2 linked regions of the Drosophila melanogaster genome follow. The protein of the gene in region 2 purifies or fractionates together with the protein of the main gene of each other region. This does not show direct contact. Each region holds a gene or a part of one and is shown on either strand. Other genes may lie near its edges.

Region 1 (3,756 bases), on a different chromosome or scaffold from region 2:
AGATAGATGATTTCCTGGAGAAAGCCACCTGCCTGCAGCTGTTGTGCGCCGGTGAAAAGCTGAACATGTTCAGTTCGTCGAAGGTTGTGCTCATCAAATACAACGACAGTGTACGGAACTTGTTGGGCGTTAAGACCATTTTAATGAAATTTTAACCGAGATATCTTTAGCGATTGGACGGGGCAAGATCCAGAAAGATATAAATTAGATAATGATGAATGGATGAGCATAGTACTAACTGAACATAGAGTGTAAAGTGCAAACAAATATGGAAAAACTATTAGTACGAATATAATAGTAGATTTATATACTATACATATGTATATTTTAGCTAGTAACTAGTTTTTACTCACACGTCTTTGTCTTTGGAAGATAAAGGATTTTATAAAGGAAATTAAATTTAGAGCTAATGCAAAGTGATACAAAGGTGCTATACACACTCAAAACGAAGAAAAAGGAAATGAATGGAAATTTTAGAGCGAGAATATTGAGAAAATCTGGAATCTTTAGGGATTGGCTGCAATTATGCAATAAAAGTAGAAGAAAACAATGCAAGGCAGTTAGAAACGAGGAAACGAACGGAAAATGTATGCCAGCCAATCAGCTAATAAATTGATATATACTTACAGATAAATCTAGGGATGAAGTGTAATCTATGGTTTTTAAAAAAACAAAACAATCTAGCTAAAGTATAAACTAAATAATAATTATTGTAATAATATTAAAGAAGCAACAAAGGCGTATTTATGTATTATGTATTTTTAAATGAAATTATTAACATAATATATAAAGTATATGTATACACAATATGATCCAACTACAATGTAAATCAATTTTCAGATAGGTTTGTAATTTTCTATGTAATGTACGTGTGTAAGTTTTGTGCAACTATAAAAGGAAACCACAAAAAACTGAAGAAATTTAACAAAAAAAAAAAAACTAATAATGAAAAACAAAATAAATGCAAAGTGAAATTTTGACAATTTAAAAGTGCGGTTTCACTTCAAAATTTTAACAATCTCCTGGCATTTGAAAACAAATATCGATCCAAGCTTTTATTAAACGATTCTTCAAAATTGGTTTAAAAGGTTATTTATATATAATAATAGATGACTGAACAGGTAAGGTCTTAGATAAGTACTTAAATATACTTAGAGGGCCCATTCTTTTGAAAAAGTATAATTATATCTTGTGAATATTTAAATTCGTCTTCTTCTTTTCCTTTTAAATTTGCAATTATTTGAACTAGATAATCTCATTGTATTTTTTATTGCTTATTAAAATTTATGTAATATTTCATTGACAAACCGCCACAGTTTTGAATTTACGATCTATCGATAACTTGGCGATAGGTTCCGGCAGATGTCGCTCTCAAAAGCTCGCCGCACGAGCGGTGCGCTAAACGCGGGTGTGCGTGCATGTGAGTGCTTTCAGCTGAAAGCTTTCCGGTTTTCATATGATTGCCGTCCTTGTTCTTCAAACGATTTTTAAAGGCCAAGAATGCTGCCTCTCTGTCCTTGGCCCCGCTCTTCGCTCCGGTGATCCAACACTATCCCGACCGCGCATGTGTGTGTGCGTGTATGCGCGAGGGCTTTCGGTCTTCTTCTACCTACGCCAACAAACTTTTACTGTGTGTTGTGTTCCCGTTCGAGTTCGACCTAATTTCGCTCGAGACCTAATTTTTGCGTGCGGAATAGTTTTTCCCGAAAAAGTGAAGCCAGCGAATAAACAATAGCTGAAAGTGAGCGATAGCCAAGAAAGTAAGAGTGAAAGTAAACAAAAGCGAAAAGAAGAACAGCTCTGGCGTTAATTATGTGTGTGTACATACGTATATATTTAATATTTCCGATGCGTCCATAACGGGAGTGTGTTCTGGTTTCCAATCGTCGCCCGCGCCCCCGTCATTGCCTATCCGTTTACCAAACCCCAATTTTGGTGTGCAATTGTGTATAAAAATTAACACAAAGTGGGAAGATAGCGTTGTGTCATAGAATTGGAGCAGAAGCAAAAACAAGGCAAAATTAGCAAAAGCCAAGCGGAAAAACAACAACACAGAGTGCCCAGTGGAACCCCAGTACATGTGTGTATATATGTATGTGCGGTGCGAGCGTGTCAGTGTGTGCGTAGCAGGAATTGCAATTTATAGTTGTTGTTTCTGAGAGCTTTCGCTTGTTGCGCGCGTGCGACGATTGTGCAAGAAGTTCTTGGTGTGCGTTCGAAATCGGGAAGAGGAAATCGCCGAGAATAGAGGAAGAGTAAATGGCAATAAATGCAAAATAAATAAAAGAAATAAATAAAAAAAAATATAAATAAATTGCCAAATGCGTTTGGCGTCGCGTGTGTGTGCGTGTTCTGAAATATGCTGAAAGAGCTTTCGGAGAGCGAGAGCAAAAGAGAACGAGACGCCGAGAGATGCGATCGGGAGAAATAGCAACAACAACAACAACGGCAACAGCGACTACGATCGGCGAAATGAATCACACACAAGCTTTGTTTTGCGAATTATAAATTCGCGTTCCGTTCTCCACACATGCGAATTCCCACACTGAGAGCGAGACAGAGACAGCGAGAGAGAGGGAGACCAGCTACGGCTACAAAAACAGAAACAGCAAGAAGACCAAGACATAATAATAGAACTTTTGCTTTCGCTTCCAACTGGTTTTTGTATACATAAAAAGCGAGAGGGGAAGAGACGGAGAAAGAGAGAGACGGACAGCTTCCAGCGCTTCTTCTTCTTCCGCGATCTTCGTCTTGGAATTCATGGAACCGGGCGCATGCGCAACACACAGAACTACAAAAGGAAAAACAACGACGTCAGCTGCATGAAAGGTAAATTCTCAATTCTCCCCGCTGCACGACTTCCTCTCGCTCACCTTTTACCCCCCAAAAACCTCCTTTTCCATTTTGTCTAGTTGGGTGAGCTTTATTTTACTGCACTTACCATCTTTAATGGGAAGTAGGAGCACGGAATGAAATACAGTTTTGACACGAATTTGATTTAAAAACCATCATTATAAGAAAACTTTTTAAATAAAATCACCTTTTTGTTTGTTTAAATAAATTTTACTGGGATCATTATATATATATTTTTTACAAAAATTAATGTGGTTTTAAAAATTTGGATAATAAACTGAAAATTGTATCAGCAGTTTATAGCTTTTTATAGTTTTTTTTTATACATTTTCTCGTATTTTCCACTAAGATATTTTTCTTTTAAAATATTAAATATAAAGTTAATGTCATTTGCTCAATTTTTTTCCGTGGATTACCCGAGGGTTGGTGAGATTCAAGCACGAAAAGTGAAGAACTTGAAGTCGAGTGAAGTTAATTAAAGTATCGTTAAAAAGGGTAACACAGGGCTTAAAAAAATGGGGGAATCTTTCCAGTTGTCTGTTTCGCGAACTGGAAAATTACTGTAAATGGGGGAATAAACAATTTAGCGTGTTAATTTTTAAATGGATTTTATCTACTCGGAAAAAATAATTTGGTTAAAGATGCTTTTAATGCATTAACTTTTTTTTTTTTTATTAATTTTTGTAATCTTGTAAAACAATTGCATTTTTAAAAAAACTTTATTTTTCAATTTTTAAATTAAAGATTCTCGACGTCTATTTTGAAATTTAATTTTTAAACATCGGTTTATTGGTGAAATTGCATTGATACTGATAAAAATAGTTTAGGCACTCCTAAGCTCTACGGAGGTATATATTGTGGACTTTCGACGATTTAGTTAAAAACCCTAAACAATAATTAAAT
Region 2 (3,756 bases):
CACAGGATCGTCCCTGCTCACGGCAATCCCAGTTTATGAATGAATTTACTAAATGAGCTCAGTCGTGAATGAAATGTTCTCCGCGGACCGCGTTTTATGGACGGTTCTACATATACATAGGTACTAACAAACCCACAACAACCCAGCCATGCCGCTGCACTCATTAGCATTGGTCGAACAATGCAGTTGGACGTAATCCCAATGATTTCCCTTTTGTTCTAAATGGCAGGACAGGGGCATAAGGCGCTAGGCCTGCGGAATGCACCTTCCCTAGAAAGCAGATATCTTTTAGGAAGTTATTATCGCTTTGGTCCGATGACAGCAGTTTTATACTCTTTTAAAAAACAACAAAACGAAAATATTTCGTTCAATTCCGCAAATCTTTCTTTTAATTCTAGCAGCAAACATTTTTATGATTATATGCTGTATCCGTCGTCTCTTGATTAGAATTAGAATTTGATTTCGAAATTATTTCAGGTATCTGTCGAAGAATATAGAGGTATATAATACATTTGGCTGCAAAAATAGGAGGCATATATTCATAATTTAGAGAAGGCTTACTTCCAATGCTTGTTGACTAGAAAATAAGATTGAACTCAGAACACTACTAATCCTATCGTGGGAATCCTTAGAGGGTATGTATTAATATTAAGTACCATTTTCCCTTTAAACTCAAATTCATACAGAAAATTGGAGTGGAAAGTAAACGCAACAGCAATTTGTAGCGGCTACCAATGCATGCGAAAAACTTGTGAACTTAAACACGAACTCTTAAAGCCAATATCGCCTTCTAAATTAAAACATTAGGTGTAGCAACGCACATTCAGCCAAAGTATGTTGTATCTGTTCTCGTAGTCTGCAGCCAGAATCGCGTTAGGGCAAACGCCTCCACGAGCCAGTAAAGTTTTTCTCAAGCACCCCCAGAGATAAAGATAAAGTTTAGGCGAACTGTACCAACTGAACAACACGCTCAAGCCTGGCAATCTCTGCAAATCCTGCCCAGCTGCTTGGCCCGCACTTTGCATATTCGTGATGTCGCGGAGCCACCCTCGAACAAGCACTTAATTTAATAATAAATTGCTGCCACATCGGGCACAGGAAACCCGAACCGCAGATAACCGAATTATACATTTGGAGAAGTATCTGTGTCTGGACGGAGGGAAGGAGGAGGAAACTGTGACTGGGAATGGGTATAAGATTGGGAGTGGGATTGGGATTGGGAGAGTGGGCCAAGCCAAGCCCAAAGCCAACCACCCGGGAATCATGGTCGGTGGGTGGGTGTGAGTACAATTCATAACATAACCGTGAAACGCAAATGCTCTGCTAAAGTTGCGCCCAAATCGGAGGCACCGCGCTGCTGGGATCGCCTGGGCCCAGTATATGTAGTACGGAGTGGAAAGAGTAGAAAGCGCAAGTTAGGAAAGCTGCCCGCCACTCGGTCGGGAGTTCGATTTTCCGGACCGGGAAAACTACGCAGGACTACACGCACACACCAGCGCCTTATATACTTCAGCTGCGAGTGTGTGTGCGAGCGGGCCGCCATTGTTGTGCCCTCGAAACCGAACCGAACCGAATCCGTGCCCGTTTCTGAAAGCGAAACCCACCCCGAAGCATCCCTCTCGCTCGCACATCCTCAGACAGACAAATAATCGATGAATGAAGCGACCCTCAGTGTGCGTGTGCGTGTGCGGGTGAGTGTGTATGTGTGTGCGCGTGTGTGTGAACGCAGGACGAATGACTGCCTGGGTATACGAAGTGTAGGTAGCCAGAGTCCTGGGTTTAAATTGAGAGGCGTCGGGGCAGGAGAGCTCAGTTCGAGTCGAGATCTCGCAGCACACACACAGCTCCGCACAACCAAATCAAGTCCAAAATCATAATCACAAGTGTTCCATCCAAGTGATTTAGTGTCGCGAGAGAGCAATTTAGACCTTCCATTAAAACTACTGCAAAATGTCGACGATTAACCTGCATCCCCCGCAAACCTACTCGCGACTTTTCCGACCCTGGGATACTCAGCGCCAGGCGGCGACCTCGGCGGCACCCAGGACAGTGAAGCAGGAGCCGGAGGCGATTACCATCAAGACGGAGCTGGCCAGCAGCAGTTTCGGCCACGACTGCGACGGAGACTTCTCCTCCGCATCCTCCTCTGCGTCAAGCAGCAGCAACAGCAGCAAGTCCTGCTACGAGGAGGCCCTGAACCACAGCAGCTACACCCGCACTTCCACCCCGCTGCTGGACGCCGCCCCGCACCCCGTCTTTTCACACCCGCAGTCGTCGCCGTTGGACACGCACGCCGCCGCCACCGCATCCTTGGCTCCGCCAAACCAGCACGCTCCATTCCTGTCGGCCGCCAGCGATCTCTACTACGCTGCCGCCGCCGCAGCAGCCGCTGCTGCCTCCACGCCCACTGCCGTCCCGGGCTTCGGCATGGACCCGTTCACTATGGGCCTGATGGAGCAAGAGTACGCCCGCGTGATGGCCGAGGACGCACAGTTAAAGGCGCTCAACAGCCGCAAGCAGCGGCCGAAGAAGTTCAAGTGCCCCAACTGCGACGTGGCCTTCTCCAACAACGGCCAGCTGAAGGGCCACATCCGCATCCACACCGGTAAGTCGACCAGAACACATCTGACCCCGAGAGTCCCACTCACTTATCTCCATTCTGTTCTGCAGGCGAACGCCCATTTAAGTGCGACGTGAACACATGCGGCAAGACCTTCACCCGCAATGAGGAACTGACGCGTCACAAGCGAATCCACACCGGACTGCGGCCGTATCCTTGCAGTGCCTGCGGAAAGAAGTTTGGCCGACGCGACCACTTAAAGAAGCACATGAAGACGCACATGCCGCAGGAGCGCCAGCTGGGCCCGTCCATCTTCGTGCCCATGTACTCATACCTTTATGGCTACTGAGAGGGAAATCCTGGCGAGCTTTCCCCTTGCCACGCGACCCTGCATTCCAGCGATCTGTAAAGCGCTTGCACGCTTTAAACAAGCATTACCGAACCGAATCCAACGAAACGAAACTTAACGCCAGCAAAAACTGCCTAGCCAATCGTGGACAGAACTACCTCAGCCGTACCTGGCGCAATGTGGCGCACTCACCAAACCCAATCTTTGGACCTCGACGATATATGCAAATATTGAGATATTTATTTTTTAACGCGTATTTACACTTCCAGCTACGTGACTGGTTATGATATTCGGCACATGTGTAAATAATCCCTAAGTGATCCTTCCTCATATGCTAAGCGATTAAGAAATTTAAGAGATGCCCGGATTTACGTCTAAGTTATACTAAAGCTGATACTTTAACAGTTTTATAAGCTGATCGTGGTTACCAGATACATACGATTTATACACAAAATTATACGATCATGGTTATATCTGAGAGTTGAATTATACGATTTATGTTTACAACACAAAATACACAAGAAAAACCGTACAAGAAAGACCTTTATTACCTGGGCGGTGTTAGAAATGAGGAGAAATGTACATAGAACTTGCAATTTTGTTCCCCAATGATTAAATGCATAGTTCCATTACGAGTATACGAGGAGCTAAAAACCAAGAACCATTACCTTTACATGTTAATGATCCACTGTCACTTCCCGTTAACCAGATCGTGCGACAAACCGCTCGTCATGCCGCCAATATCAAAGGCAAATCGGAAAATCGCATTTGAACTGTCATAAAAGGATTAAAAGGCACAAGTCATTTGGTCCGAATCTATCCAAATTTCATTCACAAATTACCCAAA

The links.
Region 1: the proteins of hkb (region 2) and ftz-f1 purify together in Drosophila melanogaster (affinity purification with western blotting, with the first as the bait; one study listed by BioGRID). This does not show direct contact.

Annotation. Positions count from the first base shown.
Region 1 is NT_037436.4:18,799,181-18,802,936, reverse strand, and holds the start of ftz-f1 (ftz transcription factor 1), read left to right. Parts: upstream 1-1,627; 5' UTR 1,628-2,829; intron 2,830-3,756. Other genes in the region: CG14073 (uncharacterized protein), read left to right, coding at 1-155. UniProt on the Drosophila melanogaster protein: Acts as a cofactor to fushi tarazu (ftz). Facilitates the binding of ftz to DNA. Binds the sequence element 5'-YCYYGGYCR-3' in the zebra element of ftz. Probably functions as a nuclear receptor for a yet unknown ligand.
Region 2 is NT_033777.3:4,344,698-4,348,453, reverse strand, and holds hkb (huckebein), read left to right. Parts: upstream 1-1,807; 5' UTR 1,808-1,950; coding exon 1,951-2,605; intron 2,606-2,670; coding exon 2,671-2,909; 3' UTR 2,910-3,439; downstream 3,440-3,756.